Linked DNA regions of Tamandua tetradactyla. The protein of the gene in region 2 interacts with the protein of the main gene of each other region in a pairwise test. Links are inferred from orthologs where the notes say so. Each region holds a gene or a part of one and is shown on either strand. Other genes may lie near its edges. The genes, in order: ELOA, HOMEZ, PRKAA2 and AEN.

Region 1 (7,207 bases), on a different chromosome or scaffold from region 2:
GTCCAACATAATAATGCTATCCTTAGGAAGCAGCAGCAGAAAACGGAGCAGTAACTCATAGGCCTCTTAGCAGATTCGGAACAAAGCAGATCAACTTCTCCTCACTTTTACATTATTTAGCAGTTTAGACTCCATACAGTAAAGGAAGTCACCATGGGAACAGAGTCCCAGGACCTCTACAAAGCCAACATAGAAAGATGAGGCCAGAAGTCACTGAAGGCATGTTTATCTCAAAGCCTAACACTGTCTCAATTCAGGTTAGCAGGCGCAATTTCGAAGCAGATAAACTAAAACCTCCAAGATTTTCAAACATATTTGGTCCTACAATTTTCAAAGAATTTCAAGAAAGAACAGAGCAATAACAAGGTTATGTGTTTAGACAACCTCAGGCAGGAGCTTGCTGTTATCAAACCAAGAGATCAACTGTAGAACTGATAGCAGATCATTGTGAAACGTCAAACATTTGCACAGTATAAGCTTAGGAATTCCAGTTGTCCCCCCCACACACACTTTCAAACCCAAAGAGCAAAAGATGTTCATACCCTTGACCTCTAGCTCTCCAACTGCCACTGAACTGTGTTCTTTGTAGTTTCAGCATTCAAAATGTAACACAGACAGGTAACTTTTAAAAGTACTGCTACATTACTGTATCAGCCATGAAAACTGTTTCCAATTAGTAGGAACAGAAACCAAGTGCCCTAGGTCTGCCTGGTAACTTCTCCCCAAGGAAGCCTAGTTCACAGATGGAATTAAAAATGAAATGGAGTTATAGTTAGACACCAATAATTAATATCAGAAAATACATGAACATAGGTGTGGAATCAAACGTTTGACTAATAATAGTTTGAATTCAGGATTTGGTTGCAAATTTAATACTGCTATCTAATCATCTTGCAATTTCAAAAACAACCTGTGGGAGCTTGTTGCATTAACAGAAGGTTGAGAGGAAGGCCAATGTGCCAGCTTGCAATTTTCCCTCTGCACTTAGCCCATTTCTGAATGCCAACTATCATGCCTTTTGCAAACATGATCTCCCAATGTTTTCTCATCTTCATAACGTTCATTTCACAATGCCAAGCCATATGTTCAGCATGATTTTATATCTGGGAAGAGAAAGTCCAAATGCTTACAGAAATCATTAATACTTCAGGTAGAATGAGAAACCAAACAAATTTTTTCCTAATTTCATATTTCAAGCAAACCAACTGTGAGAAAAGTTACTTCCAAATTTAAATCCTAGTGGAAACATGACTACAGATGACACATAGATCATTTTTTATCTGATGGAAATAAAGACCAAATTGCAGAGGGAGTGGCTACATAATATTGCTTTATGACTTAAAAATCAGTCACAACCCTTACAGTGTTTAGAAAAACAAACTAGTACTCAGAATAATGACCATCTATTAGATGCCCACAAAGGGTTATTGTAAAAAGAAACCTGTAAATATGCCTGGCCACTGGGTACTAAAGCTCCAACAGAAAAACACAACACAATTGAAGAAATTAAGTTGTCATATTTGAAATTAAAATGGCTCACTAAAGAAGTAGATCTTTGAGCTTGGTTATAAAGAGAATCTGAAAGTGACTTGATGGTAAGAGACTATTTGTAGCCTTTAGTAATGGAGAAAACTTCATCTATGACAGCTTAGGAGCAAGTTAAAGAGTTTAAGAAACAAGTTAAAGCTAAAGAGTGGTGATTACTGTCCACTAAACACTAACTATGAGCCTGGAGTTTTATACAGACTTTTCGCTTAGGAACCAAAAGCAGGTGAGGGCACAAACTCAGTAAAGAGAACTTCCCCCAAAATCCCCAAAGGCTGGTAGATGGGTTTGGAAACCAAATCTCTCCACCATTTATCTCAATGGCCTGCCTGGATTAATTTTTGGAATGGGACTCTCCAGCTCAGAGATTCAACTCCTCGCTAGAATGCTGAAGGAGAATGTCAAACACCTTAAGTGTTTTAATTGATGTATTTCAATGAAAACATTCTTACATCCACCAGACACTCTCCAAAGGCTATCAAGAATCTGGGTAACAGAAAGACAGAAAAGGAAACGACTGTATTTAACTTTTTTTTTTTAACCTAACTAGGTACAATTAAAAATGGTTGTCCATCACTCGCAGCAACGAAAAACCATAGATCAAAGCTTTCTAACAAAGCCAGATATATTTTCTCAATTACACCTAAGTTTCCAAGACTTCAGCTGTGATGACGGGAGGCTTCGTTTTGTTTTGAAAGGGATTCACTGAGAAAGCGAAAAGGTCAATGTTCTAATATAGAGCCGGAAAGCAATAAAAATGTCTCAGAGACCGCAGGACCACACACGCATCGAGCCGGGGCTCCATTCCGTAAAGACAACACCGCCTCCCTCTCCCAACAAACATCAAAAGACACCAAGAAATCAGACATTTCGCAAGGAGAGGAATGGAGCGCAGCTCGCGGCGCAGTGCCGGGGAGCGAGGAGCTAATTCTCCGGACGGGAACTGCGGGCGCGGGTGCCGAGGGGGCGTCGCGGGAGCGCAGCCGGGACCCGCGGGGACGACAGCTCGGGACACGCGGGGTTCGGACCCGAGCGCGCCCCCTCCCCGCGGCGCCCGTGGGCGCCCCCCGACCCCGAGGCCGGGAGGTGGAGAAGGCCCGGCCCGCCGAGTCCCGACGCCCGCCGTGGGGTCCCGCCGCGCTGGGCGCAGCGGATCCGCCGTGAACTTCCCCGCACGGGTCGGCGAGCCCGGCGGGGCCTGGCCCAGGGTCCGAGCGCCCGCGGGATCCGGAGCCCGCCCAGCGACCGTTAGGGCCCGCGCCGCGCCCAACGCCCAGCGCTGCGCCGCGCCGCCCCCTCGCTCACCTTCTTGGGGTCGGGGTTCGCAGCCAGGCGCGCCTGCAGCTTCTCCACAACTTGGAGCGCCGACTCCGCCGCCATCGCTGTCACTGGCGCGGCCTCCTCGCCGGAACTGGGCTCGCGTCGCGTCCTCGGGCCGCAGCTCCGCCCTCCGTGCGGCCCCGGCGGAGACGGAAGCGCGACTGGCCCCTTCCGGGCCTCGGCCGGGGGGCGCGGGGCTGACCCGCCGCAGACCCCGCCCCCAGAACCTGGGGTCCGGTCGCCCTTCGCCTCGAGTCCCTGGCTGGAGCGTGCGTGCCAGGCGCTGGGACCGCTCGTCGGGGCACGCCGGCCCTGCCTGGCCACCCCGGGCAGCCCTGCTGCTGGTCCTCGGGGTGCAGCCTGGGACGCTCTCTCCAGCGTGCAGGCTACGATGGAATGAGGCCCCGGCGCCGGACCCGAGTCTTATATAGCCAATCACCCTCCCCCCCCCACCCCGCCCCCAGCCCGAGATGTAATCAACACCTGTCAGTGGTCCTGTCAGGGGGCCTCAGGAGCCTGGGAAACTGGGTTGTCCCGTTTGGTCAGCAGGAGTCGATGATAGCGACCACTCCAGGATAAGCACTGTGCGCCCATGGTTGGATTATCTTATTTTCATCCTCAAGATAACACTATGATATTTTACTCATTTTACAGGTAAGGAAACTAAGGTTCAGGGTGACCAAATGAACCTGGTCACATAACAGGAAGGAGATGAAGCCAAAATCTGAATCTAAGTAGTCTCGGTCCAGAGTGGTGCACAACTCTGAAGAGGCCAGGGAATTGAGGCCTAGAGAAACAAAGAGGTATGTCTGAAGTCAAACCGATTAGTCCTAGGAAGCGATTATAATAGCCTGTGTGTCTCTTTTCTCACCAAAGCAGTGTCTGGTATATAGGCACCAAATAAATACTTCTTGAATGAATGAATGAAGAAATGACAGTTTCTGATGACATGCCCATCAGCAATAGGGCCTAAGTCAGACCAATGCAAAACACAACTCACTCATCCTAGAAGCACTAAATTTTCTACTACTATTATTATCACTACTAAAAAGAGCAATAGCCTTAACTTAAAATGCCAACATTGATTGTGTCATTTGATTAGATAAAATTTGATTGGATCCTATTCAGATCTCCTGCTGAGCAATCACCTGGTCTGACCTCTCACTCGAAGTGGGAAAATCCAGTGGCCACTCTTCCAAGTCCTAACTCTGGAAAAAATAACTCAATATAAGTTGTTTCTTCAGATAAGCATTCATTCACTCAATGTGCTAGGAAGCCATCCTACCATCCCCTGACTTTTGGCTTGGTGCCCCTTGTTGAATTCCCTCAGCAACCAGCCCTTTGGAGGTTATAGGTAAATTGTGCATTTATTCCTCTGTCTTGCCACTGGGCTGTTTATCAAGTATAGTGAATGACCTGTCCAACCTTGAATCTCTGCCACCCAACACAAACTGGGTCATATAAACAGCATTGGATAAAAAGTCTATATAAGATTAATGACTTCTCAGTTGTTGCCCTAAGACTCAAGCCATGGGCTGTAATGGAAAAGGTATCAAACTGGGTGTAAGCAGAGTTGGATTCTAGTTCCAGCCCTTCCTCCCCTGGGAGTCTCCCTCCTCTGCACAACAATTGCCTTTACATGGAACAATCTCTTAAATTCCTTCGATTTTGAAAATGTGGTGATCAGACAGTCACTGGTGTAATGGAATATGGACGGTTTTTGAAGAATTGCTGACTAACTGACCTGGCATAAATACTCAGGATCCATGAAACTTTGTGTGTGTGTGTGTGTGTGTGTGTGTGTGTGTGTGTGCATGTTACCCAGAGAGGGCTCAACAACCAGAATAAAAAGAAACAATGCATGCCCAGCTCCTCTCCTATCATGCTGCTGAAGGCTCCAGGAGAGGGTGCCCCACCCCCTCCTCCCCATCTATGTCAGACTGAGTTGGGGTTGCCTAGAAAGTAAAGAATTCTTTACACTCAAATACACAAATACTCTGATGAGCAGTTAATTGTGTATGTTCCAATATCTAGTTAAAAAATGTTTTTAACCAGTTCTAAAAATGTTACTCTGGCCTTTCTAGCTCCTTGGCCATCTTGGCAGCTGCCCTTGGTTTGGGCCCATCCCACACCTAAGGCAGGAAGATGGTGGCTGCAAAGAAGATGAAAAAGTCGCTTGAGTCAATCAACTCTAGGCTCCAAGTAGTGATGAAAAGTAGAAAGTAAATGCTGGGGTAAAAGCACACTCTGAAGATAATCAGGAAAGGCAAAGCAAAACTGGTCAAACTGATCAACAACTGCCCAGTCTTGAGGAAATCCAAAATAGAGTCCTGTGCTGGTTTGAAAGGACTTGTTGTAATTGGGACATTTTCTCAGCCTCAGAACTGTAAACTAGCAACTCATTAAATTCCCCTTATTAAAAGCCATTCTGTTTCTGGTATTTTGCATTCTGGCAGCTAGCAAACTAGAACAGATTTTGGTACCGAGAGTGGGGTGCTGCTGCTGTGACTTGCAAATATCAAACATGTTGGAACGGCTTTTTAAATGGATAAGGGGAAGAATCTGGAAGAGTTGTGAGAAACTTGATAGAGAAGGCCTAGAGTGCTGTGAAGAGACTGTTGGTAGAAAAGTGGACTCTAAAGACACTTCTGATAAAGTCTTAGAAATGAGACATGTGTCATTACAGACTGGAAGGAAGGCGATCCTTGTTTTAAAATGGCAAATAATCTGGCAAAGTTGACTAGTGGCTTTGGCTGGAAGGCACATTTTTAAAGTCATGAAGTTGGATATTTAGCAGAAGAGATGTCCAAATTAAATGTGGAAAATGCAGCCTGGTTTCTTCTCACAGCTTATAGTGAAATGCGACAGGAAAGATATAAGCTGAGAATTGAATTCTTGAGTAAAAAGAAACCAGAAACTGAGGTCCTGGAAAATTCTGGGCCTCCAGAAAGGGAGACCCCAGAGAATAGCACCCTGTGTGAGGATTTAACCAAATGTGGAACCAGTCAGCCATTTCAGAGAAAGCCAGGATTAGACATGGAGTTATCCAGGAAGGATTTGTGGAAACGCCTTATGTCTGATGGGCATGATCCAAGGCTACTGCATAGAAAGCCAATGAGAGTGCTGTGGGACCTGTATAAACAGAGCCGCTGCCAGTCTGGACTGAGGGGTTCAGAGAAGGGACACATTGGAGGAAAAATAACTTCAGAGGCAAAACCATGGAGGCTGAGGTCTGAAGTCAAGAAGACTCGGGCCAGGAGAATGGACCCACCCAAGCCCATGGAGAGGGTGAATTTGCCCCAAAGGCAGAGGATGGGCCTTCCACCTCGTTGCAGTGGAAGAGTCATGCCACCTCAGGCCTTGGAGAGGGTGAAGCACATTCCTTGGGGTTTGGGGAGAGCCTGGCTGCCACCACATGGAGGGGTTGAGTGTGTTCCCCAGAGATGGCAGAGAGCCCGGGTGCACCCCCGATGCTTGGAGAGGGTGGAGCCAAGAAAAAGGTGGTCTCCCCAGTGTCCCCCAAGGTTGCATTCAGAGAGAGGCAGGCCGCTGTGTAGGCCCTTCGAAAGGGTGGGACTGCCGCTTTCAGATGCCCTGAAGATAAATGACTCTCAGACTTTGAAATCTAATGGATATTGCCCTGCGGGTTTTCGAAACTGTATGGGTCCAGTGACCCCTGTGTTCCTTCCTCCCTATAGAAATGTGTATATGTATCTTATGAATGTTCCTCCTTTGTATGTTGGCAGCAAATAACTTGTTATGAGTTTTCAAAGGTCCAAAGCCAGAGGAGAACTTGGCCTTAGAACAGACCATGCCTGTAACTAACTTTGACAGGAGTTTGTACTGTTTCTAACTTTGTGTTACTGAAATGGTTTAAGGATTTCTGATATTGTTATGGAATGAATGTATTTTGTATATGGGGAAAACATGTCTTTTTTATGGGCCAGAGGGTGGAATGTGCTGGTTTGAAAGGAAGTACGCCCCCTAGAAAAATCCATGTTTTGACCAAAATCCCATTAATAAAGGTAGAATAAACCCTGTTCAATACTGTATGTTTGAAACTGTGATTGGATCATCTCCCTGGATGATGTGATTTAGTCAAGAGTGGTTGTTAAACTGGATTAGGTGATGACATGTCTCCACCCATTTGGGTGGGTCTTGATTGGTTTACTGGAGTCCTATAAAAGAGGAAACATTTTGGAGAAAGAGACTCAGAAAGAGCAGAGAATGCTGCACCACCATAAAACAGAGTCCACCAGCCAGTGACCTTTGGAGATGAAGAAGGAAAATGCCTCCTGGGGAGCTTCATGAAACCGAAAGCCAGGAGAGAAAGCTAGCAGAT
Region 2 (7,991 bases):
GCTCTTCGCTGAACTGCCTGGGTCGCCAGTAACACCTCTGCAGTTTTTTTCTCCAGTGGAAAGCTCCAGGAATCCTTCCCAGCCTGCGCACGCTTGGCTCCTTCTCCAGCGGAGGCCCTAACTGTGCCTCTAGCAGCGTCAGTTCCAAAGAAGGGCCTAACACAACGGGGAACTTGTTCCCCAGATGGATCAGATGTCTTAGCACCCGGAAAGACGAGGATCCTAGGAGCCGGGCGCCTGGACACGCTGGCACCAGACAGGTGTTCTCAAAGCCTGCAGAAGTCACCTCGTCGGAACCGCCAGATCCACAGAACCCCTCCTTCCTGCCCTGGTAAAGAGGACCTGGAGATCTGCCTCGTAATTGGGGGACCTTGGTCTCCGAAAGGGAGACAAGAGCACTATCTCACACACTACAAAGTTCTAGACCAGACGTTTGTATATTTAGGATCTTTGTCTTCTAATTAAAATTTAGGAATAATATCTTTCAGAAGTGTCCCTTCTTTTCTCATGTGGGGCTTTGAAAATGTCTTTTACCTGTTTAGATGATTTAATAGTTTATATATCTACAATGGTTTATAAAACTGCCTCAAACTTTGCCCTGTGTTCTGCATACCTCAAAACTCTTCCCTCCCCCCGCCCCCCCCCCCCCCCCGACCCACCAGGGAAACATTCCTCATTGGTCCGCTCAGGTCTAGAGCGCTTTCAGAGTTGCCAGACAAATACATCTCTGCTTCAGAGTTGAGCTCCGTTTTCCATTGTTGGCCCTGAATTTTCCCGTCTCTCTCCTCTCCTTAGTTACATTTAGTAACAATATTCACTTCTACCAGCCAGTCCCATGTTCTTCAAACTAATATCCAACAAAAACAATAGAAAACACATACTAAGCTTCAGAGTTAGAAACTTTTGGTCCCTCAGGGAAGGAGCCGAGGTTGGTGGTATAATATACAGACGGTCTTCCAAATCGTGACTATTTCAATACCCCAGTGCTTTGTAACTAACAGGAAGGAAGAGGGAAACGTTTTAGACAGCAGCAGCCTGCAGTTTCCAGTGGGGAGATCATTCCTTTAAATCCAAACAATTAAATGAAACTGTATTGACTGGGAGGAACTCGTGCACATTTGACTGGAAAGCCACGCAACTGGCTGTGGGAACTAAGCACCTGACCCTGACGGGTTCAGTGACTCACTCTGGACATCACTGATCATGGGCTTGGAATTGTGAAAGATGAACAATTCAGCTCCCTTTCTTGTGTCAGAAAGATTACACTTGCCAGAGTTGGGAGTGGAGGGAGAGTCAAAGACAAATTTAGGGAAGAGGAGAATATCTGGAATGCAGGGTGAAGTCTCTTTTATGTAGGTTTCACCCTGAAGCTTTAGAAGATGGCATGGATGGGATGGGGGAGTACAGGGAGGAAAAGGTTCCGTTTGATACTTCAGAGATGGGAGGATCCCACAGTTAGCCAGACAGTAACCCTCCCAGTTTTTCCAGGGATTAGTGTTGAACAAAGGAGATTCATCAGTTCATCTTCATTGTAGAAAGGTCAATCCCCCATTTTAGGTGAAAACATTCTTCCCTTTGCTTGATTCAGATAAGCAGGGGCTAACCAGAGGCATATCTATCCTGTGACTAAGGAAGTTGAAATTTCAGGGCCCACACGTGCACAGGCTGGAAGAGCCCCAGAAATGTGTTCACATGATCATAGGTTTTTGTAAAATCTCAAAATTATATATTTTAACTGCAATTGGCTAAGATTGATGACTCTTTCCTTTCTGATTTCGCCTTCATCCCACTTCCCTTTTTGTCAGGTGGCAATGGAAAGGCCACAAGCATTTGAGAATTGGCTAAGGAAACTGAGTTGGGGATACACCTAGTTTGGATTTAGTAACTATATTTATGTGGTTTGCAGTTCTGTGAATAAATTCTTATGTAGATAGTTTCCAGGAATACTCCTAATGTCATTAATTCAAAGGGCGTATAACATTAGTTAGTCATTGCAAAGGAAAATTTCAAATGCTCTAAAATATTAGATCACATATATAAAAGAAATTTGACAGGTTTTCCCAAAGTTGACTAAAGTCCTAATTATTTGTGACACTACCACTAGGTATGAAAGTGAAACTTTTCTAAACTACCAATAATAATTTTAAAATGTGATCAACCATGGGGCGGTGTGATGGTGGCTCAGTGGCAGAATTCTCACTCTGCCACGCCAGAGACCCAGGTTCGAATCACAGTGCCTGCCCATGCCAAAAAAAAAAAAAAAAGTGATCAACTACAAAAAGATTCAATTAACTCTAGACTTTCCAAACAAAACAACCATCATATGAAATAGCTATCAAAGCACACACAAAAAAGTAGAAAAAATGATATTCTGTAGGTTTACCAAGCAGATAGTTTTTAAAATCTTACTTTTGTGATATTGTGGTATTTGTTAGCTTTCATAATTTGTTGCTATATTTTTTCATTTTGAAACGTTCACTTCTATGCCTAATTGTGTATTAGTAATATGGATTCATTTTTCCTTAAAAGGACCCCCAAAATTATATGCTCCAAGCACCCAAAAATCTGTATCTATCCCTAGGGCACCAAATATATATGGTCAGCTTCTGCCCCACATTTAGGGGACCTCTGGCTCCAATGTTCTATGTCCTGTCTCCTAAGAAAATCCAGAGCCAGAGGGAACTGAGGGCTGACTGATCAGAACTACAAGTATTGAGGATTTGAGCTAACAAACCCAACTTTGAAGAGTCTGTAGAAGATATATTTCAGACAAACCTACTGCCAAACTAAGATGTGAGAAGTCTGGAAAAATATTGGGGCCACAGGGAGACCCTAAGCAATGAGCCATGGAAAGAACCATAGCGCTCCCACTTACCTCTCCTTGGGTACCTGCTCCTCATGCTGACCTTACCCTTCAGCATAACTGGCTTCATTTACAACACATATTGAAGGGTGGATACTCTACAGTGACATCACAACTTGGTCATTATGATGCAATGAGGAAGTATCTCATTTTTCTTTGGCTAGGGTTTCCCTAGTAGGAACATTGTCTCACTACTTTGTGGCTAATTGGGCTCTTTCATCATTCAGTGATGTGGGAGTCAACACTATGTTAGAACATGATCTTTTCCAAGGACTCCTCCCTTTATTAGTCAGTCCACTTCTCATACTCCATTCTGAATTGGTCATAGTTCCTTGACTTTTACCTCTCCATCATATTTCTCATTCTTGCTTTAGAGTTGACCTTAATTATACGGAAATGAGTTTTACTCTTCCTTCCAGTGCTTGCAGAACAGAATTCAACTCAGATGGCCCATACCCAAGGGAAAACACTTTTTTTTCCCACCAAGCTGATCCCTTTAACTGCACCAGTTGCTGGTGTGGGTGCCAGAGAACCAAAGCACTAGATTTCTGAGTCTGATAATTTTCCTGCTACTCAAACGGTAGTGTGATCTTACCGAGGTGTCTTATATCAGGACTGCCCAACTCCTCTATCTCTTTGCCACCCAACTTTTCCATCTACAGAGGAACAGAATGGGAACAGGATTTTAAAGAAATGAGATGACAAAGAAGAAATGGAGGAGGGCATCTTGCCATCTTTAGCCCCAAACAAAGAGTCCTTCTTAATATCTTATTACTTTTTCATATTTCAACTTTATTTCAAAAATGAGTTTTTTTTTTATCTGACAGAGCTGAAATGAAGTCCAGCACTAGTGGGTTTGGACATAGTGGACAGGACTGCACTGGGATGGGGGTGGAGAGGCTCTGTTAAGTGGTTTTCAGGGGTTCACATAACAACTTTCATTTTTCCCCCCCAGGTTAGCTTTCCAACGGGTTGATGCACTGCTCTTTAGTAACGTCACCCAAAAGAGTGCCAAGACTGGGAACACAGTGAAAAGTATATGTCCACTTTGTTTCTCCTCAAGTGAATAGGGGAGGGAATGATGTACCAGCAGAAAATGAAACACGTGTTCATTTATGATGTATCCCTTGTCATGAAAAACAGTGTGTCTGACTGTGTAGAGGCCTATTTCCTAGTCTGGGGATGGGATGTGGTCAGGATGTCTGGGTTTAAGCCCCAACTGAAGCTGCCCTGACAAATTCCCTGACCATTCCCATCTTTGGACCTATGTTCTCATCTGTCCAGATGAAAACTGTTCTCTAAAGACAAGCTTTTTCCTGTCTCTGATTCTATGATCTGGGGGTACAAGGATCCAAAGGAACCTAAGAGAAACCTTAGGGTCAGAACCAAGGGAATATGGGAGCTAGATTGGGAAGCTGAAGAAATGATGAGCTACATTCATGAAGAAAGATACTGGAACAAAAGGAAAGCTATGGAACAGGTAGATGGGCAGGAAGACATCTGAAGTCTGGATGAGAGCAAAGGACAATAGAGTTATTGCTGTGTTGCTTCAAGGACCAAAGTCCCTTACCACAGTAATGGTTTTGTTTCTGGCAATTCCCAGTTCATGGCTGATATGTGGCATCCAAAATTTCTCCTGTTCATAAAATTATCAGCTTTTAGAGAAAAGTCCCTGGCACAGTGCCTAACATTTTAACACTTAACAGGATCCTTAAAGATCCTACCAAACTCTTAGTGTTTCCCTTGTCGGATTAGATCGAACCAACCTTGAAGGAACAATGGGGGAAACTATCAGCTTAGCTCACATGCCAAGACAGCTCAATATTAGAAAAATCAGAACTCATGTGTTTGTTCTATACCCTGAGAATAGGGGAGGAGATGAGCCATGGTGCTTCTTACAGAGAAAGAGCTCAGTATGTCCCAAATCAGAGCCTATTTACCCACTCAGTATTCCCAGGGATCCCAAAGAGAGCCCAATCACATACCATCCGCAGTTGTCCTAGCCAGGGACTCTTCTAGCAGGAACTGTGGGAACTGGCCTATTCAAGGCTAGGGAGGGAGGGAGGGAGTCATACCAACAGGCAACGAGAGCCAGCTCGGGCCAGGAGAGAATTCCAGTGTAAGGGAAGGCAGGAGTTCAAATGAATTCCCTAAGTTCTCTAGCAGCAGATGGGGTGAAAACTTGCTAATACTGCACAGAGCTCAGGTGCAAAGAGACCTGGTACAGGAAGCAGCAGCAAGCTCCTGGGAGGAGTAGATGAAGCTTGGGGCCCTTGGTACTTTGCCTTCTCCAGGCCAGTGCAGGAGCCTGGGAGGATGGAAATGCAAAGTGTGATCAGAAATATAATCTCCTAGTGATGATATTGTGAATTACTGATTATGTATGCTGTTTTGTTTTATTTATTTTTTTAATTAATAAATAAATCTTAAAAAAAGACGTAATGGAGAGGCTGGAGGGAACTGCCTAGAAAAAAAAAAAAAGAAATATAATCTCCTAATAAGAGATGACATATGGCAAGGTTTTTAATTTTTTTTTAAAGGAAAAAATATATAGCATCATAGTTATGCACATAGGCTCTGGATTCAAGATTTCCTGGGTTCACAATACTAACTCTGTCATTTACTATGTGACTTTGAGCACATTACTGAGCTTCTCTAAGCCAGTTTCCTCATTTCTAAAACGGAGATAATGATATAACTTAACTCACATAGTTGTTTTGAAAACTAAATGAAATAATGCATGCAAAACACTACTAGATTTTAGCAGATGTGTTAAGGAAGCGTGACCATTTCTATTGTTAATACAACATTAACAGTAACACATACACATAAGGCAGAGATTATCACACAGAGTCTCAACCCAGTCTCTCTCTCTCCATTACCCTCCTCAATGATGGCTAAACAGTGCATTACTTGGAGGCTTCCATTACAGTTTCTCTCTTCACTCAGCTTCAACTCTGACCCAAAGGTGATCCACAAGATGCATAAAATTCTTTCTGTATTCTTCATAAGGTGATAAGGATGATGTTCAAATGAGCATTTGTTCAGAGAACGACCCATGCTTCCTCTCTTTCAGCCACTTTTCTTCAAAGGATTAAGGCTTTGGACAGGAGGGACATGTAACAAGCCCCATTCTATTCTGAATGCATGTGTGGGCACATGCACATATACACACATTCTCTCTCTCTCACACACACACACACACACAGTGATAAGCAAGAGGTGATCCAGAATTTTTTGAGAAATCATTAACAGAAGCAGGGAAGGGGATGTGGGGAGCTGGTTACCTGGAGCTCTTTGTTCCCGTCAGGACATGCTGCCTCTTTTCCCTCTTCTCTTTTCTAGAAGACTTTCAAGAAGCCTGAGAGAGGAAAGTGGTTCGACCATGTCTTGGATTAAAGGAAGTAGTTTCTTCACTCCTTCTGGAGGCAGAAGGAATAGCAGAGATCAACAAGAATGAAGGGGGCAAATGGAAATAGAGAAAATGAAGGTAAATAACTCTGTATGTTAAAGGGTGTGTGTGGGAATTATGAGAAGGGACAAGGAAAGATAAAGCAAAGCGCTTAGGAACAGAGTAAGAGGAAAGAAAAAACAAGCAACCAGAGGAGGAAGCACTCTCATTAGAAGGTTAAGAAGGAGAGACAAAGGGCACGAATGAATGGGTAGAATAAAATGGTCCAGCTTTCCCACTTCACTCGCTCAAGCCATGAAGCAGACTGCCACCTCCTGGTGCCATTGAATTTTCAAGTTGCCTTAATTCTTGACGTGAAATGTTTTCCATTTATTATAATCCTTTTTCCTCAAGAGAGCCCCCAATATTGTTTCATCTTTGGGGTTTCTGAGCATCTCTCCAGAGCTGTGGCAGAACACCCAGACTGGGAGTCTGTGGGGCAAGGACAAAGGCAAGGGGCAGATGAGCTGTGGATTGGAAGAAGCCTCGGAATACCCTGCGGCTGTAGGCTGCTTCGTAGGCTCTGGAACACGTGGGCCAAACACTGGAGGACCATCCACGGCCCTGCCAGACACTCCATGCTCTATGCAGACCTACAGCCATAGGTTGTTAGAGTGTCTTCTAAACTAGGCCCTCCCATTCCCAGATCATAACATGTCAATGCCAGGAGCCTTATAGAGATCACCTAATCCAAACCCAATTTCCCAATGAAGAAACTAGTGCCCAAAGAGGTGAAGTTAATTATACAGCTAGTCAGTGGTTTCCTTCTCTTCTGTAGCAGAATCAGAATAGTGATTCCCTTGATTCACTTTCTCTTGACACATGAGGTCCATAAAGTGCTTAAAGAGCATCAGAAGGCATCCCAGAAAGGTAAGGCTGGAGTTTTTCTGGAAGCCCCTGAGTGTACCAGCCCCTTATTTGGATACAAGGACAGGCCCAGAGTTGCTCTGACTCTATTTTAAGTCCTAGGGCTGCCTGGAGTCTGAAAGAAGCTCTAACTGGTACTTGCCATCACTTCCCAGCCGGTCCTTGGAGAATGAAGCCAGGAACCATCAGGAGTGACAAGGGAATCCTACCATGTCAGGGAGCCGGGAGCAGTGGCCAAGTTCCTGGGAATAAGCAAGGCAATTATGGCTGAGTAAAAGCTAGGGTGGGCAGGGCCGGAGGACCTGAGGTGGCAATGGGTATAACAGTGAGCAAGCAATCTATATAACTTCAACTGGGGTGGACTCTTCACCCATACTTCCTAAATCCCAAAGAGGTAACATAACCTTCTACTGGGTAGACTTGACAAGCCTATTTACTTTCGTCCCAGTGCCCACTGACAGAAGAGAAGGGCAGCAGCATCCCCGTCCATTTGGCTTTTTTTCTAATTCCTTAAACGTCCTGTCCGATCTCCTTTCGCCTGTGCCTTGGGTTCCTTCTACTCATATCTAACCAGCAATCTCATATCTAACACCCCAATCTCCCCAAACTTCGTTGGTTTCTCCCCTTCTCCCCCTGCTCTTTTTGGTCCGCTCCCCGCCATCCGCGGTTTTCCCCACTCCTTCCCGCCCAGTCTTCGGGTTCCCCCCGCCCCCCCGGGTGCCTTTTCCCCTCCCCTATGTCGGCCGCCTCTTCTCAGATAAAGTGGATCCAGCCCTGAGGCTCTGGTGCTCCGCCACTGCCTGGGTGCTC
Region 3 (7,565 bases), on a different chromosome or scaffold from region 2:
GGAAATACAAAGTAAAGCCACAATGAAATATCATTTCATACCCACTACAATGGCTATAATAAATAAGACAAACAATAACAAATATTGAAAAGGATGTGAAGAAATAGTAACCCTTATATATTGTTGGCAGGGTCATAAAATGGTGCAACACTTTGGAAAACAATTTGGCAGTCTCTCAAAAAGTTAAACATAAACCTATGATATAACCCAGCAATCCCATTCTTAGATATCTACCCAGGAAATATGAAAACATAAGTCTACACAAAGACTTGCATGAAAATGTTGATAGCTCCAAACTGAAAACAATGTCCATTTACTGGCAAATGCAGAGACAAGATGTGGTGTAGCCATACAATAGAATATTACTCAGCAATAAAAAGGAATGAACTACTAATAGATGTTACATTATGCATGAATCTGAAAAGCATTATATTAAGTTAATGAAGCTAGACACAGGCATCCCCCATACTAAATTATTTCATTGATATAAAATGTCTAGAAAAAAACAAATGCACATAGACAGAAAATAAATTAGTGATCCCTGTGGCTGAGGGAGGGAGAGGGGCTGAGGGTGGGGTAAAAATATTCTAAAATACATTTACATTGTTTGCACCACTCAGTGAAGTTACTAAAAAATCACTGAATTGTACATTTGATACGGAAGAATTTTATATGTAAAATATACCTACCTCAATAAAAACTGTCTTAATAGTTGCATGTGCTTTTGTTTTACTTGTCTCTTGAGCTAAATGATTAAAATTGTAGTAATTTCTGTAATTTTTATTAAACAAACCATTGTATTGCTTCTAATCCTGGATGAGAAGCCACAGGAAAACTTTAGAGAGGCTCTCACAGTATTAGGAGACCTGCTCCAACTAGTTATTCACTAGAAAGGAGTTCTTCGGGAAAAGGATTTCTCAAAAAGCAAAGCTCCATCTCTTGACTTATAATTTAAAAAGCTAACGCCTGGCAGCAGCTTAAGAGCATATACAAAAGAAATTTAAGTTGCCCCTTAACAATGGGGCTGATGGATGGCCTACCCTACATTCAGATTACAGTGTAGGAATTTTAAAAAGACAAAAACTTCAGCACAATTTGAAAGTACACAGTAAGTTCTATAACTTCAGGAGTCTACAAGTCCAGATGGCAAAGGAGTTGTTTGCTTGAGTAACTGTATAATGTTATAATACAATAGTCCTCAGTAACATTACAGGTGTAAATACAACTCCAGATCTTCCTATATTCGTTCTAAATACATTCTCCTAACTATCCACTCTATGAGGTTTTTCAAAATAATCTAGGATTCACAGTCTTAATAGAACTTCAAAGAATTTTGCAACCTTCTTTAGAACTTGACTCAACCACGACCTTGTTTGTGAGGTTTTGCCTGAAAACTGCAAATCCCACAAAATTACCTATCCTCCCTTCCCTGCCTCGTTTTTCTCAATAACACTAAACATATTGTATACTTAACGGATGTATTTTGATTATTGTTTGCCTTCCCCTCCTAGAAGAATGTGAGCTCCATGAACACAGGGATTTGTATATGGTTTCTTTCCTGCTGTATCCCACTGCCTATTAACAGTATATAGCACTTCGTAGATGCTCAATAAATGTTTTCTGAAGAAATGAATGAGTATCAGATATATGAAGGCAACAGGAATTCATCAGCAAGGAGCCTCTACCACCTATTTAGCAGCCTGGACTTCAGATTACAATATGAATTTTTACTAGGAAATAGAGATCTCACAATAAAAACTCCATTTTGCTTCCCAACATTTCTACAAGGGAAAAAAAAGCCAACATTTCACTAATAATTTTGTGTTTGTAACAAAGAACTATTAATAAACTGGTTCTGGTTTCGGAGAGAGGGCACGTTATTAAATCCCAGGTGACTCTTATAAACGGGGTGGGGGAAAGAAAGTTCAATATTAATTCTAAAAGGAACCAGTTCTACCCCCAAAGTGGGACCCTATCACCATGAGAACAGACTTCAGTAGAATCTGCTTGAGCAGCTCTGGCACTCTCAGTCCCAAATCCTCCAAAGTCCAACAGCGAGGAACCTCTTTCTCTCCCCCTTTCAAGAAGCCTTCCCAGAATCATTTTATACACACCAATCGACCTTCAGACCTCGCGGTTCTAATTTACGCCCAGACCCAACCCAGCTGCATTCCAGCATTTCACACGTCCGGGAGATTCCCCATCTCTTGGTCCCTGAGGCATCCCCTAAACAGCCAGTCCCACCAACAGAGGCTCGGGGAATATTAAAGAATCTGGAGGTGGCAGGGACCTCCCAGCAATGCCAGAACTGGGAGACATCTTAGACATCCTCTCCTTCTGCCAATTTTTGTGTGACCTTGGGCATTCTACTAAACCTCTGGGGATCCGAGTTTTCGCCCTCTTTCCAGTGAGGATAACGTCTCATCATACTGCTGTAAAGACGAAATGACCATCACATGTTAAGCACCTAAAACAGGGTACCTGGAACGGATTCGAAACAATAATCAGTAACGTGTATTATTCCCTAGTCCTATCCAAACAGTCTCGGAGCTGTAAGGCACCTTACAGTTCTTGCTCCAACTCCCAGTTTCACAGAAGAGGAAAACTGAGTTCCAAGAAAGAGCACCTTGCTCCAGACCACTGGAAAGTCTGTCCCCCAGCCCACACCCCGACCCCTCTTCACCAGGTCCCAACCAGGTTCGAGCCGCTGCTGCTTCGGGAGGCGGTGGCGCCACCTCCCCGGAGCCATTGGGTTCCGCGCGGCCCCGGCCGCTCCACCTGCCTTCAGGGCCTGTGCCTGCCCGGGGTTCCCGCGGCTCTGCCCGGCCTCCCACGTGTGAGGCTGCCCCCCGCCACGGCCTCGGTGGGATACTCAACTCTTCACTTTGCCGAAGGTGCCGACGCCCAGAGTGTCCCCTAACACGTAGTGACCGATTTTCACCCGCCCGTCGTGCTTCTGCTTCTCAGCCATCTTCGGCGCGCGCAGCCTTGCTCCGCAGGCTGCTCAGCGCGGACGCCGCCGCCGTCTACCCACAGTGCAGCGGGACCTGCGGGGGGGAGGGGGGCGTCGGGGAGACGCCGAGCGGCGAGCCGCGGCTGGCAGAGCGGGCGCGGGTCCCGGGAGGAGGGGTTGGAAGTGGGCCGGGGCCCGTGGGAAGCGCGGAGTCTATGGGCTGGGCGCGTGGAGTTGCGGAGGGGAGAAGGTGAGGTGCCCACGCCCGGGGCGTGATGGGTGTGTGAGCGCTGAGCCCGAGGCGGCGAAACGGCTAGGCGGCGAAGGTCGTTCCCCCGGGCGAGGAGGGAACCGGCGCTGGGGACTTGAGGGAGGGCTCCGAGCAGGGTGTGGGGAGTTCAAAGGCGGGCCGAAAGCCGGCCAGGGGCGGGCCACGGTGGCTCAGCAGGTAAGAATGCTTGCCGGGTTCGATTCCCGGTGCCTGCCAATGTAAAAAAAAAAAAAAGAAAAAGAAAAAGAAAGCCGGCCAGTAGTGCGTAGCAGTGGATGAAGGGGGCAACACCCGGGAGTGGGGGGAGGGACCTGAGGGTCAGTGGCCTTTTAGGGCTGAAGGGCGCCCGTAGGGAAAACTGAAGAGAGTGAAAGTGTGAGGGAGAGATTTGGGAAGAATCCTAGGGAATGGTGGAAGTAGAAGTGAAATAAAAGGAACAGGCCCAAATTGTGGGGAGGGAGGGATGTAAACAAATGGGGGAATAAGGAAATCGGGGAGCGCAAAGGAGGTGGTGGGAAGGGCCTTGATCAAAGGGCAGTTTGAGGAGAGCAGAAGGAAAGTTTTCTCTAGGCGTAGACTGGCTGACTTTTGATACAGGTCATGGTACAAAGAGAACCCAATTCTGTGCTCTCTTCAATTGTCCTCCTTTATATATTTCGTAATTCTCAGTGATTTTAAGAATGGAAGGGATCCTCTCCTCCAGAGCTCTAAATTTTAATTTGCACAATTTTCCAATAAATCAGAAGCACAAATATTTCCTCGATTGTATTTTAGCACATTTCTGTAAATATATAGTACAGGAATAGTATGTGATAGAGCTTTACAAGGGGAAAATAGTGAAAGAAATGAAAAAAGGAATGTAGTGAGCATAGAATGTAAAATACATAAGGGACAAACAAATTTGGAAGAGCAAGGGCAGCATAAGGGCACAAATCAAAGAAAGAATAAATGTGATGAAGGCGGTAGTGAAAAAAAAAATGATAAAGGAAACCAGAAGCATGATACCCAAAGAGAGTATTCAAGACTGACAGAGAACTGGGAAATGAAGTAATTATCTCTTCCTTCCTCCATTTCTTCCATCCTTAAGTACTGTCCTATCTTTCAGTATTTAAGATTATTTGCTGTTTGGGAATAAATTACTGACGATTAGTTGAACATTTATAATGTATATGACCTTAGGGTTTCAAGGTCACATTCCTCATACAGGAAGTCTATCACACTGTTTATATGTGTGATGAATACATCCTATGAAAGAATAGGATGTAAGAAAAGTTTCCTTTCTGAGAAGTGCTAAAAATACAAATGACAAACATTCATACATTCATTTTTATATAAACACCCAAAACAATCTGATGAAAAATGATCACAGCTTATAAACTATAGGTAGCACAGCTGTTGAACAGAGGCTATTTTCCTTCATTCCTCAGATCATTTTTCTTGTCAGTAAGAACTGTCATTTAAAAATCACTCTACTTAGGTGGCAATTTGGAAAAAAAAATAGACCTTTTTTTGGATGCTGAATTTTCATTTGGTGAAGTCACTCCTTCAGTATTCTCTGAAGTGAGTAAGAAAACAAAATACCTATTCTGCTTTTAAGATAAAATATTTGTCTCTCTTCTTTTAACATCCCATTAAAAGATGTTGAAAAGTCTTCCCATTTAGGTTGCTTTTAATGTGCATGAACAGACTATAAATGGGATTTTTATAGTATTCTGTGCTGTCATTAACTATTTGTTGATAATTATAACTTACATTACTACATACTTCATACCTGTGATCATACTAAAGCTACTATGGACAACCTTGTAGCATTATTGTTATACCAAAAATGTATATGGGACTTTGTTGATTCAAAAAGCACATTTAAACAAAACTATCTCATTTAATTGTCATAAAAGAAACTTATTATCCTCATTTTATAACACCGAGCTTTTTTCTTTATGATTTGCGAAAGGCTGAACGCATTAGGGTCAGAGTCAGAACTCCTATCCAGCTCTAACTTGTCCTTTTTTTTCTACTCATAGCTACTTATCAAAAAGCACATGTGGTCTAAGAAAGTTTTACATTTTCACAACAGTACCATTCTACTATTTTTGTTATTTCTAGGGTATGCAAATAATATACCCTTTAAATAACAGGGTATAAAAATAACAGGGTATAAAAAAATTTTTTATAGTTTTTTTTTTAGTTGTTATCCTTATTTACAAGAAAAATTGAATGTGAAGCAGGGAAGAAAGGCGAAAAAGGACAACTCTTTGTGAACGTTGTCAGCTTTTGTTGTATTGCCCTGAATATGTCAGCTGTGATTCCATATTTGCTTCACTCTGCAAGCAAAACAAAACCCAGCAGTTAATCAGACCAAATTTCCTAAAGAGCTATATCCCTTGATGGTCTAACCCTCTAGACTTTCTAGCAAATACAATCTTCATTATTTCCTAGGAATGTTTTAGTGTCCCTATATTGTTTAGTACCAGTCTCTAAGATGCCCCAGCTAGCTGTTCATTTCTTAACCCTGGCCCAACTGTTACAACTTTATCCTCCTCTGAACCTGTGCTGGTTTGAAACGGTTATATACCCCAGAAAAGCCATGGTCATTTTCCTAATCCAGTCCTATGGGGGCTAACCTATTGTTTGGGTGGGATTTTTTTTATTAAGTTGTTTCCATGGAGATGTGATCCACCCAATTGTGGGTGGGAACTTTTGATTAGGGGGTTTCCATGGAGATGTGTTTCCACCTATTCAAAATGGGCCTTAATCCACTTGCTGGAGTCCTTTAAGAGGGAATCATTTTGAGAAAAGTTCAGAGCTGACACAGACGGAGACATTTGGAGATGCAGAAAGAATATGCCCCCAGGGAAGCTTTTGAAACCATAAGCCAAAAGACCAGCAGACGCCAGCCATGTACCTTCCCCAGTGATAGAGGTGTTCCAGATGCCATCAGCCTTTCTTGATTCAAAGTATCTTTCCCTGGATGTCTGAGTTTGGACATTTTTATGGCCTTAGAATTGTAAACTTGTAACTAAATAAGCATGCTTCTTAAAAGCCATCCCATTTCTGATATATTGCATTCCAGCAGCATTTGCAAACTAAAACAGAGCCTTTGGGGTAATTTTACTTTGTTCCAAAGCAGGGCCTGAATAAGGAGAATAATGACATCCGAATATCTAAAACACTATACTAGATTCCCTTGATATTATCAATAACCAATTCCTTCTTTGCTCTGAGTCATCTAGGTGAAGTGAATTCTGAACACCCTATTTAAAAGTACACTTTCGTCTCACCCAAGGGCCTGCGTGCTCCATCACCCTTACTCTCCCCAACTGCTTACAGTTGTCGTCACTTTCTAATATGCTATTTAGCTTATTTATTATGTTTTTGTTTTGTGTGATTCCCCACAACTAAAATGTTACATTCCCAAGGAGAGGGGGTTTTCTGTTATATTCACTGATAAATTCTTAGCTCCCAGAACAGTGCCTAGTAAATTGTAGGCACCCAAGTGGATTCAGGTTATCTGCTACCTGGTGTTTATACACTTTGGGGGATTTGTTTAAGGAAAAAATACAAAACTAAGTATGCAAGTGAGTATTTATGTGAAGAAAAAATCACAACAATCTACAGATTTTTAAACAACGGATTTTATAAACATCTCCAAATCCAGAAAAATATTTTTATCAATTAACTACTATCAACATACCTCTACAATACTTGTTCTCTACATTTTTTGCCAATCATCTTTGATTTCCTCTTGATATTTGTAATATTTTTATAGAGAGAATAGAAAGATAATTCAATGTTTTCTCTAATCAAGTTTTTGATTATATGTTTCTCTTTAGGGTTCCCATTACACTCACATAGCTACTATAGCATTTGTCAATTCTATTTATATGTGCAAACATTATTATTATATTAATATTTTATATGTATTTTCATATTTTTCTATATATTTATAAACATATGCATAAGAAATATACATATGTTCATGAACAATGTATTCATACCCTATCTGATATCTGATGTCCCTCAGAGCTAGTGAAACCTGGTCCATCATTCCAAAAATGTTTGTTGAATTAAAATAAAGAAAAGGGTGACTTAGTAGAAAATCAAAGAACACAAATTTAGGGAGGAACACTTCAAAAGAGAAATCAAAATTAATACATACTAAATAAAAAGCTAATTTCACATCTCAGTGTAGTAGTCATTTTTAGTGAGTTTGGAGGTAGATATGAACCAGAACATGTAGGGCTGTTCTAGTGTGCAAGCTGCCAGAATGTGATATACCAGAAACAGAATGGCTTTTAAAAAGCAGAATTTATTAAGTTGCAAGTTTACAGTTCTAAGGCC
Region 4 (6,877 bases), on a different chromosome or scaffold from region 2:
CGCCCTGCCAGCCTGCCTCCGCCCTGCCGGCCTGCCCCGGGCCTACCCTCGGCCTACCCTCACCTCCTTCTGGGCCTCCCGGAAGGGGATGGCTTTGAGCATGTGCTGCCGAGTGACGCCGCTCCAGCGCGTGCGGTAGTCAGTGACGGGCATCTCGGGCCGGATGTACTTGTCGTAGAGAACGTCGCCGTGGTAACTGACCACGGAGCAGCGGGCCAGCTCGCTCACCCGCCCGTGGGGGCCCGTGCCCACCATCTCACAGTCGATAGCTACACACTTGCTGGGCAAGGGCCCCGTGGCTCCTTGGCTGCACGCCGCACCGCCACACTCCACCCGGGGACGCCGCCTCCTGCTGCGCACAGCTTCCGCACTCGCACTCGGCAGACCCTCCGGGTCGGGCCGGGGGGAGGGAACTGATTCTGAGGGGGCGCTCAGCAGCCCCTGCTCCTGCAGTAAGGCCTTCCGGGCCATGAACCGCTGGTGCTGTCGGCTCCTCCTCTTGTGCTTTCTCCGAAGCGCATCCTTGGCATTCAGGCCGGAGAGGGGTGGGCACAGATACTGGGCAGCCTCGGGGGCCTCCTGCGACACCATCCCAGCTGGCTCGTGGCTCTGAGCAAGTCTTGAAAGGTGGCCTTCCAACAGTGCGGCACCCTGGAGAGAAAGCATGCAAGCCAGGAGGGCTGGGTGAGGGCGGTGCCAGACAGCCCCACGCTTTATCTCAGGGCGCCCAGAATGAGCAGAGGAACTAAAAGCAGGTGCTGCTCTTCTGCATCCTCCAAAAGCCCTTTGGAACAGTCCCTTCGTCTACTGGGCTCCACAGGATATGCCACGCCGTGGGCCTCTAGGATCCCCCAGCTCTGTGCCACGCACTGGACAAAGAACCACTACCAAGAGTTCAGTCTGTAGCCACCGAGGCAGAAACGTTACCAGAAAGCATGCTAAGGGCCGAGGGAGAGGTCTAGGGAAGCAGAAAAGGCAGTATGACAACTGTGGGGAGGCTTCCTAAGAGGTTACATGTGCTGCAGATCAGTCACTCTCCAGGTGGAAGGGAGAGGAGGAGTTAGTCCCTCGCTAGTGGCAAAGGCCTGGAGGAGGGACCCAGGATGGAGGGAGGAGGGAAGAGGTTTCTGAGGTGTGAAGCACAAGTTGCACCACGGGCGGGAGGGCAGGGGCTGCTCCTTTCCCCTTGTTTTGCTTGGTCTTTTGTCCCCCTCTCTGGTGGTCCTCCTATCAGCCACTCCACAAGCTTCCCCTACCCTAAACTAGTCTCTGCTGGGCAAGTGAGTGAAGGTGCCCCAGACCCTGACCCAGGACATTTACAGCCTACCTGGGGAGCAAAGAAAGTCACCCCTGTGTGCTCTCAGCACAACCAGAGAAGAATTTATCACACTCTTCAAGCTAGATGGTTATGTACAGTCGACCTCTATCACCAGTAAATCAGAGCCCATTTGCCCTGCCACTTCCCCAACAGCCAGCCTAGGAAATGGCACACAGCAGACCCTGCTTCAGAAGTGTGCGAAGGGAGCTTAAGTCAGGTTGCTATTTCCCAGAGAGTAGAGTTGACCGCCTGGTTTGGTGGGAAGAGATTAGCTGGGCAATTATACAATGTGCTCGGGATGGGAGCAGAGGGATGCCTTCCCACTGCTGGTGAGGGGAGGCCTGGCAGTGGAAGAGGCACGCTGAAGGGTTCCAGGAAGGTCTACTGGGTAGCCCAGGAAAGGAAGGGCATTCAGACAGAAAACACAGAGGCAAAGCATACCATAGTGGGGGGGGGGGGGGGCACTGAGTTGGGTGCAGCAGCTGAAAAGCAAGGAGATGGGGGTGAGGGGAGGGGTGGAGCAGGGCCAGTGACAGGGAATGATCCCGGAGGGTGGGTAAACTGGGGCATAATCCAGAGAATGATGGGGAAGCACAAGATTTTTAGGGAGAAAGCAACAGGCTCACAACGGCCTTATGGGGAGAGTCTGGAGAAGATAAGAATGTGAGCAGAGATTAAGAGAAAAGGGAAAGGGAATGGGGAGAGGAGTGGTGAAGTGTCAGAGTCTGGTGACAGGGTGGTATGGGGTGAGGTCAGCATTCGCATGAGCAGGGCTTGGGGTGCCTGGAGAAGGCCCCATGAACCACCCTGACTGATCCACCCTCCCTGCTTGTTCACCCCTTCTCCCTCTGAATTTATAACCACCTTCCTCAATATAGCCAACTCACTGATCAGGGGTGACAGAATGCAGACCCTCAACTTGCCTCAGCCCAGCAATGGGAAGGACAGGACCCTAAAGGAACCAGGAAATCTGAACAGCCAGAGGCTGGGGGCTACCAAGCAAATGGCCGGTGAGGAGGCCGCAGGGTCGGGGGCTCTCTGCGCTCAGCGGCGAAATGGACTGCGCCAAGTCACCGTCCCTTCGGCGTAAACGGAGGGTGCTGATAGGACAGGGGCTTCCCTGACGCACTCAATTACCAGAAGAATCGGGACGGTTGTTTACAGCGCCCGTTTCCAGGCCCGGCCCCGCTGCCTTACGGCCGCTTTTGGGGGCGAGGCCTGAGAATCTGCACTCTGAGCCCGAGCGCCCCCCCGCCCCATGATTTTAACCATCGCCCCAGTTTGGGAAAACTGGGCTCGAGAAAGGCCCCTTGTGCGATTAAAAAGTAGGAGGGTCGGGAAACTTGGAGAAGAGCTCGGGGCGCTCACGCCCTCGGGCCGCGTCCGCCCAGCGCTGCCCGTGGGAGGCCGGCCTCGCCCAGGGAAGGGCCGCGCGTCGCTCACTTACCGGCCCGGCGAGTCCCGCCGCCCATCGCCGCCTCCTCAGGCCCGGGACCCCCGAACAGGCCGCAGAGGGCGGAGAGGCGGCGCCGGAGGCCCGGCTTGCAGCCCCACAGGCCCGGACCCCACGCGCGCGGCCCCGAGGCCCCGCCCCAGACGCCCTGACCCGCGCCCCCGCGCGCGGAGCCCGAGCTCACCTGCCGCCCGCGCGCCGCTTCCGGTCCGCACGTGGCTCCCGGCAGCCGGCGGGGCCACATGCCCGGGCATGCCCGGGGTTAGCTGCCCGCCTATTGGCTCCTGGAGCGACAGCGCCCGCCTAAGGCCTCCTCCGATTGGCCGGGAGCCTGCCTCGAGCTGGTTGGCTTAGACAACCGGAGGGGCGGGGATTCCTTAAAGGGGCGTGACCTGTGTCCGGAGCCCACCGAGCTGGCGGGAAATTTTAAAGGACCCGGAAGGGAGCGTGTGCACCGCTCGTCCTCCTGGCTCCGGTCCCTCCCGCCTCTTTGGACGGGATGTGGGCTTCTGTGAGCTCCCTGTCCCGAAAGCCGAGTGACTCACAGAGTACATACACTTCTGCAAAATGCGGTTAATCACCCCCACCTACCTCGCAGGTTGTAGGGATTCAGTGACATGATACCCGTGATGGGAACTACAGGAAGTCAGGTTTGCTCCTTCGGCGCTCGTCTTTATCAAGTCTCTGTCACCGGCTGGACACCGAATACACTGAACAACCTCAGTCCTGACCTCAGTTGCTCAAGTCTGGCCGGGGTAACAGGCAGGTTTACAGAGAATTCAGTGCAACGTGAATAATAACAAGAACAATTGATAAACCGCATTGATTGTGTGAGCACGAACAATATACTTATTTATTCTGCATGGGATTCTTATGCAGTGACTATTTCCGTTTTACAGTTGAAGAAACTGACAAACAGCTGGAGTAAAAAAAAAAAAAAATGACCCATACCAACTCCGTTTGGCCCCAGATTTGCAAGCAGGAGGACAAGGCAAAGGCACTCAGAAGTCCAGGGGTATAGACAGAGGAAGCTGCTCCCAGCCATATCTGACTGAAGTCTAGACTTGAAGGAAGCAGATCATGGGAAAAGGATGCGAGGGAGGTGTGCCAGTTGGAATCCGTTGTGTACCACAGAAAAGCCATGTCTTTTAATCATCATTCAGTATTGCTGGGTGGGATCTTCTTGATTGTTTCCATGGAGATGCGACCCACCTAATTGTGGGTGGTAACCTTTGATTAGATGGTTTCCATGGAGATGTGTCTCCACCATTTCAAGGTAGGGTTGCCTACCGGAGCCTTTTAAGAGGGAACCATTTTGGAAAAAGCTTAATAGCCACTAGAACCGACAACCCCCCAGGGAAGTTGTTGAAGAAGCCTGGAGAGAAAGCTAGCAGATATTGCCTTGGGCCTTTCTAGCTGAGAGAGAAACCTCAAATGTTATCAGACTTCTTGAACTAAGGTGCCTTTTCCTGGATGCCTTAGTTTGGACATTTTTATAGCCTTGCCTTAATCTGGTGATTTTCACAGCATTAGAACTGTAAACTCGCAACTTAATAAATTCCCCCTTTTCAAAGCCATTCCATTTCGGGTATATTGCATTCCGGCAGCTTTTACAAACTAAAACGACTCCTGAAAGCTTTGGGGAACCTGGAAGCTTTTGGCCTCTGCTCATTCACCAGCAGGTTTGCATTTTGGAAAGCTCACACTGGCTGCGGTATAAGAAGAATGGATAAGGCTTGGAGGAAGAGGAGTTGGGAGGTGAGCATGGAAATTCAGGCCAGAGAAGACAGTGATGGACAGAATGGTGAAAGAAACAAAGACGTAGGGACAGATTAAAAAACTACTTAGGACCGCCCGCCCTCCTTCTCCCCTCTCTTTCTCCGCCGGCCCGCCGCGCGGCGCCCACGCCCCGCAGCAGCCGACCCACCCGCCCTCCTTCTCCCCCCTCCTCCCCCTCCTGCTCCAGCCGCTCTCCAACCACCACGGTGCCCTCTTCCCCCGCCTTCACCGGCTCCTCCACCACCAGCCTCTACAGCCTTGCCGCCCTCACCTTTCCTCCTCCAGAACAGCTACTGGGGGAGTGGAGATAATACAGAGCAGCTCCCGGAGTCACGAGGGAGATCAAAGGGACGGCGTACCCCATCCTGGAACGGCTGACTATCTGGGAGAACCAGCTCCGGTGAGATCACCAAGGGGCACGGGCTTTCCTGGGTGGGACGGCAAGCGACCGGAGTCCCTCCCTTCCACCTTCCCAGGCCAGCTGGTAGAATTGGACAGGCGGTCTCCTTAGGCCGCGGCAGCTGGTGCCCCCACCACACGAGGCCCCCCGGAACAACTGAGATAGTTGGGTCGGAAATCCCCAGACTGTGGAGAACAGTGACCGGGGGATCCCTTCCAAACACGTGACTCCCCCGTTGGCTGGGAATAGTGCACTCTCCCGGGCTGCGACAGCTGGCGCCCTCCCGCCACGCTTGGTGCCCCAGGTCGACTAGCTAATTCGGCCGGACGCTCTCCCGTGCTGCGGCGGCCGGCGACCCTCCCCGCATTCGGAACCCCAGGCCGGCTGGCATTCTTCCAAGACACTTCGGCTGCTGAACCTCCCCTACGGCGAGAATTTTCCAGAGTTAAAGGACCCACAGCAACTTTCACTGGTGGAACCCGTAGACAAACGTGTGCCACGAGCGCCACCTACTGGGCAGGATAAGAAAAACAGAACCCAGAGATTGCACAGAAAAATCTTTCAACCTGTGGGGTCGAACACCCAGGGAACTCTGACTAAATGCCCAGACGCCAGCAGAAGATAACGGATCACGCTCAGAAAATTGAACATATGGCCCAGTCAAACGAAGAAACCAATAGTTCAAATGAGATACAGGAGCTGAAACAACTAATGCTGAATATACGAACAGAAATGGAAAACCTCTTCAAAAACGAAATCGATAAATTGAGGGAGGACATGAAGAAGACATGGGCTGAACATAAAGAAGAAATAGAAAAACTGAAAAAACAAACCACAGAACTTATGGAAGTGAAAGATAAAGTAGAAAAGATGGAAAAAACAATGGATACCTACAATGACAGATTTAAAGAGACAGAAGATAGAATTAGTGATTTGGAGGATGAAACATCTGAATTCCAAAAAGAAACAGAAACTATCCAGAAAAGAATGGAAAAATTTGAACAAGGTATCAGGGAACTCAAGGACAATGTGAACCGTACAAATATACGTGTAGTGGGTATCCCAGAAGGAGAAGAGAAGGGAAAAGGAGGAGAAAAACTAATGGAAGAAATTATCACTGAAAATTTTCCAACTCTTATGAAAGACCTAAAATTACAGATCCAAGAAGTGCAGCGCACCCCAAAGAGATTAGACACAAATAGGCGTTCCCCAAGACACTTACTAGTTAGAATGTCAGAGGTCAAAGAGAAAGAGAGGATCTTGAAAGCAGCGAGAGAAAAACAATCCGTCACATACAAGGGAAACCCAATAAGACTATGTGTAGATTTCTCAGCACCATGGAAGCTAGAAGACAGTGGGATGATATATTTAAGTTACTAAAAGAGAAAAACTGCCAGCCAAGACTCCTATATCCAGCAAAATTGTCCTTCAAAAATGAGGGAGAAATTAAAACATTCTCAGACAAAAAGTCACTAAGAGAATTTGTGACCAAGAGACCAGCTCTGCAAGAAATACTAAAGGAAGCACTAGAGTCAGAACCGAAAAGACAGAAGAGAGAGACATGGAGAAAAGTGTAGAAAGAAGGAAAGTCAGATATGATATATATAATACAAAAGGCAAAATGGTAGAGGAAAATATTATCCAAACAGTAATAACTCTAAATGTCAATGGACTGAATTCCCCAATTAAAAGACATAGACTGGCAGAATGGATTAAAAAACAGGATCCTTCTATATGCTGTCTACAGGAAACACATCTTAGACCCAAAGATAAATATAGGTTGAAAGTGAAAGGTTGGGAAAAGATATTTCATGCAAATAACAACCAGAAAAGAGCAGGAGTGGCTATACTAATATCCAACAAGTTAGACTTCAAATGTAAAACAGTCAAAAGAGACAAAGAAGGACACTATATACTATTAAAAGGA

Evidence for each region.
Region 1: the proteins of HOMEZ (region 2) and ELOA interact in binary tests that used the Homo sapiens proteins (3 or more experiments, as listed by UniProt). The two-hybrid records come from large-scale screens. The link is inferred for Tamandua tetradactyla from reciprocal best matches to the Homo sapiens genes HOMEZ and ELOA.
Region 3: the proteins of HOMEZ (region 2) and PRKAA2 interact in binary tests that used the Homo sapiens proteins (3 or more experiments, as listed by UniProt). The two-hybrid records come from large-scale screens. The link is inferred for Tamandua tetradactyla from reciprocal best matches to the Homo sapiens genes HOMEZ and PRKAA2.
Region 4: the proteins of HOMEZ (region 2) and AEN interact in binary tests that used the Homo sapiens proteins (3 or more experiments, as listed by UniProt). The two-hybrid records come from large-scale screens. The link is inferred for Tamandua tetradactyla from reciprocal best matches to the Homo sapiens genes HOMEZ and AEN.

The regions. Positions count from the first base shown.
Region 1 is NC_135328.1:202,486,111-202,493,317, forward strand, and holds the start of ELOA (elongin-A), read right to left. Parts: upstream 3,008-7,207; 5' UTR 2,926-3,007; coding exon 2,851-2,925; intron 1-2,850. UniProt on the Homo sapiens protein: SIII, also known as elongin, is a general transcription elongation factor that increases the RNA polymerase II transcription elongation past template-encoded arresting sites.
Region 2 is NC_135340.1:31,582,698-31,590,688, reverse strand, and holds the start of HOMEZ (homeobox and leucine zipper protein Homez), read right to left. Parts: upstream 3,009-7,991; 5' UTR 2,934-3,008; coding exon 2,876-2,933; intron 1-2,875. Other genes in the region: PPP1R3E (protein phosphatase 1 regulatory subunit 3E), read right to left, coding at 7,935-7,991. UniProt on the Homo sapiens protein: May function as a transcriptional regulator.
Region 3 is NC_135328.1:164,519,875-164,527,439, forward strand, and holds the start of PRKAA2 (5'-AMP-activated protein kinase catalytic subunit alpha-2), read right to left. Parts: upstream 3,020-7,565; 5' UTR 2,972-3,019; coding exon 2,878-2,971; intron 1-2,877. UniProt on the Homo sapiens protein: Catalytic subunit of AMP-activated protein kinase (AMPK), an energy sensor protein kinase that plays a key role in regulating cellular energy metabolism.
Region 4 is NC_135338.1:96,585,332-96,592,208, reverse strand, and holds the start of AEN (apoptosis-enhancing nuclease), read right to left. Parts: upstream 3,018-6,877; 5' UTR 3,016-3,017; coding exon 2,956-3,015; intron 2,895-2,955; exon of another isoform or gene 2,766-2,894; intron 652-2,765; coding exon 64-651; intron 1-63. UniProt on the Homo sapiens protein: Exonuclease with activity against single- and double-stranded DNA and RNA. Mediates p53-induced apoptosis.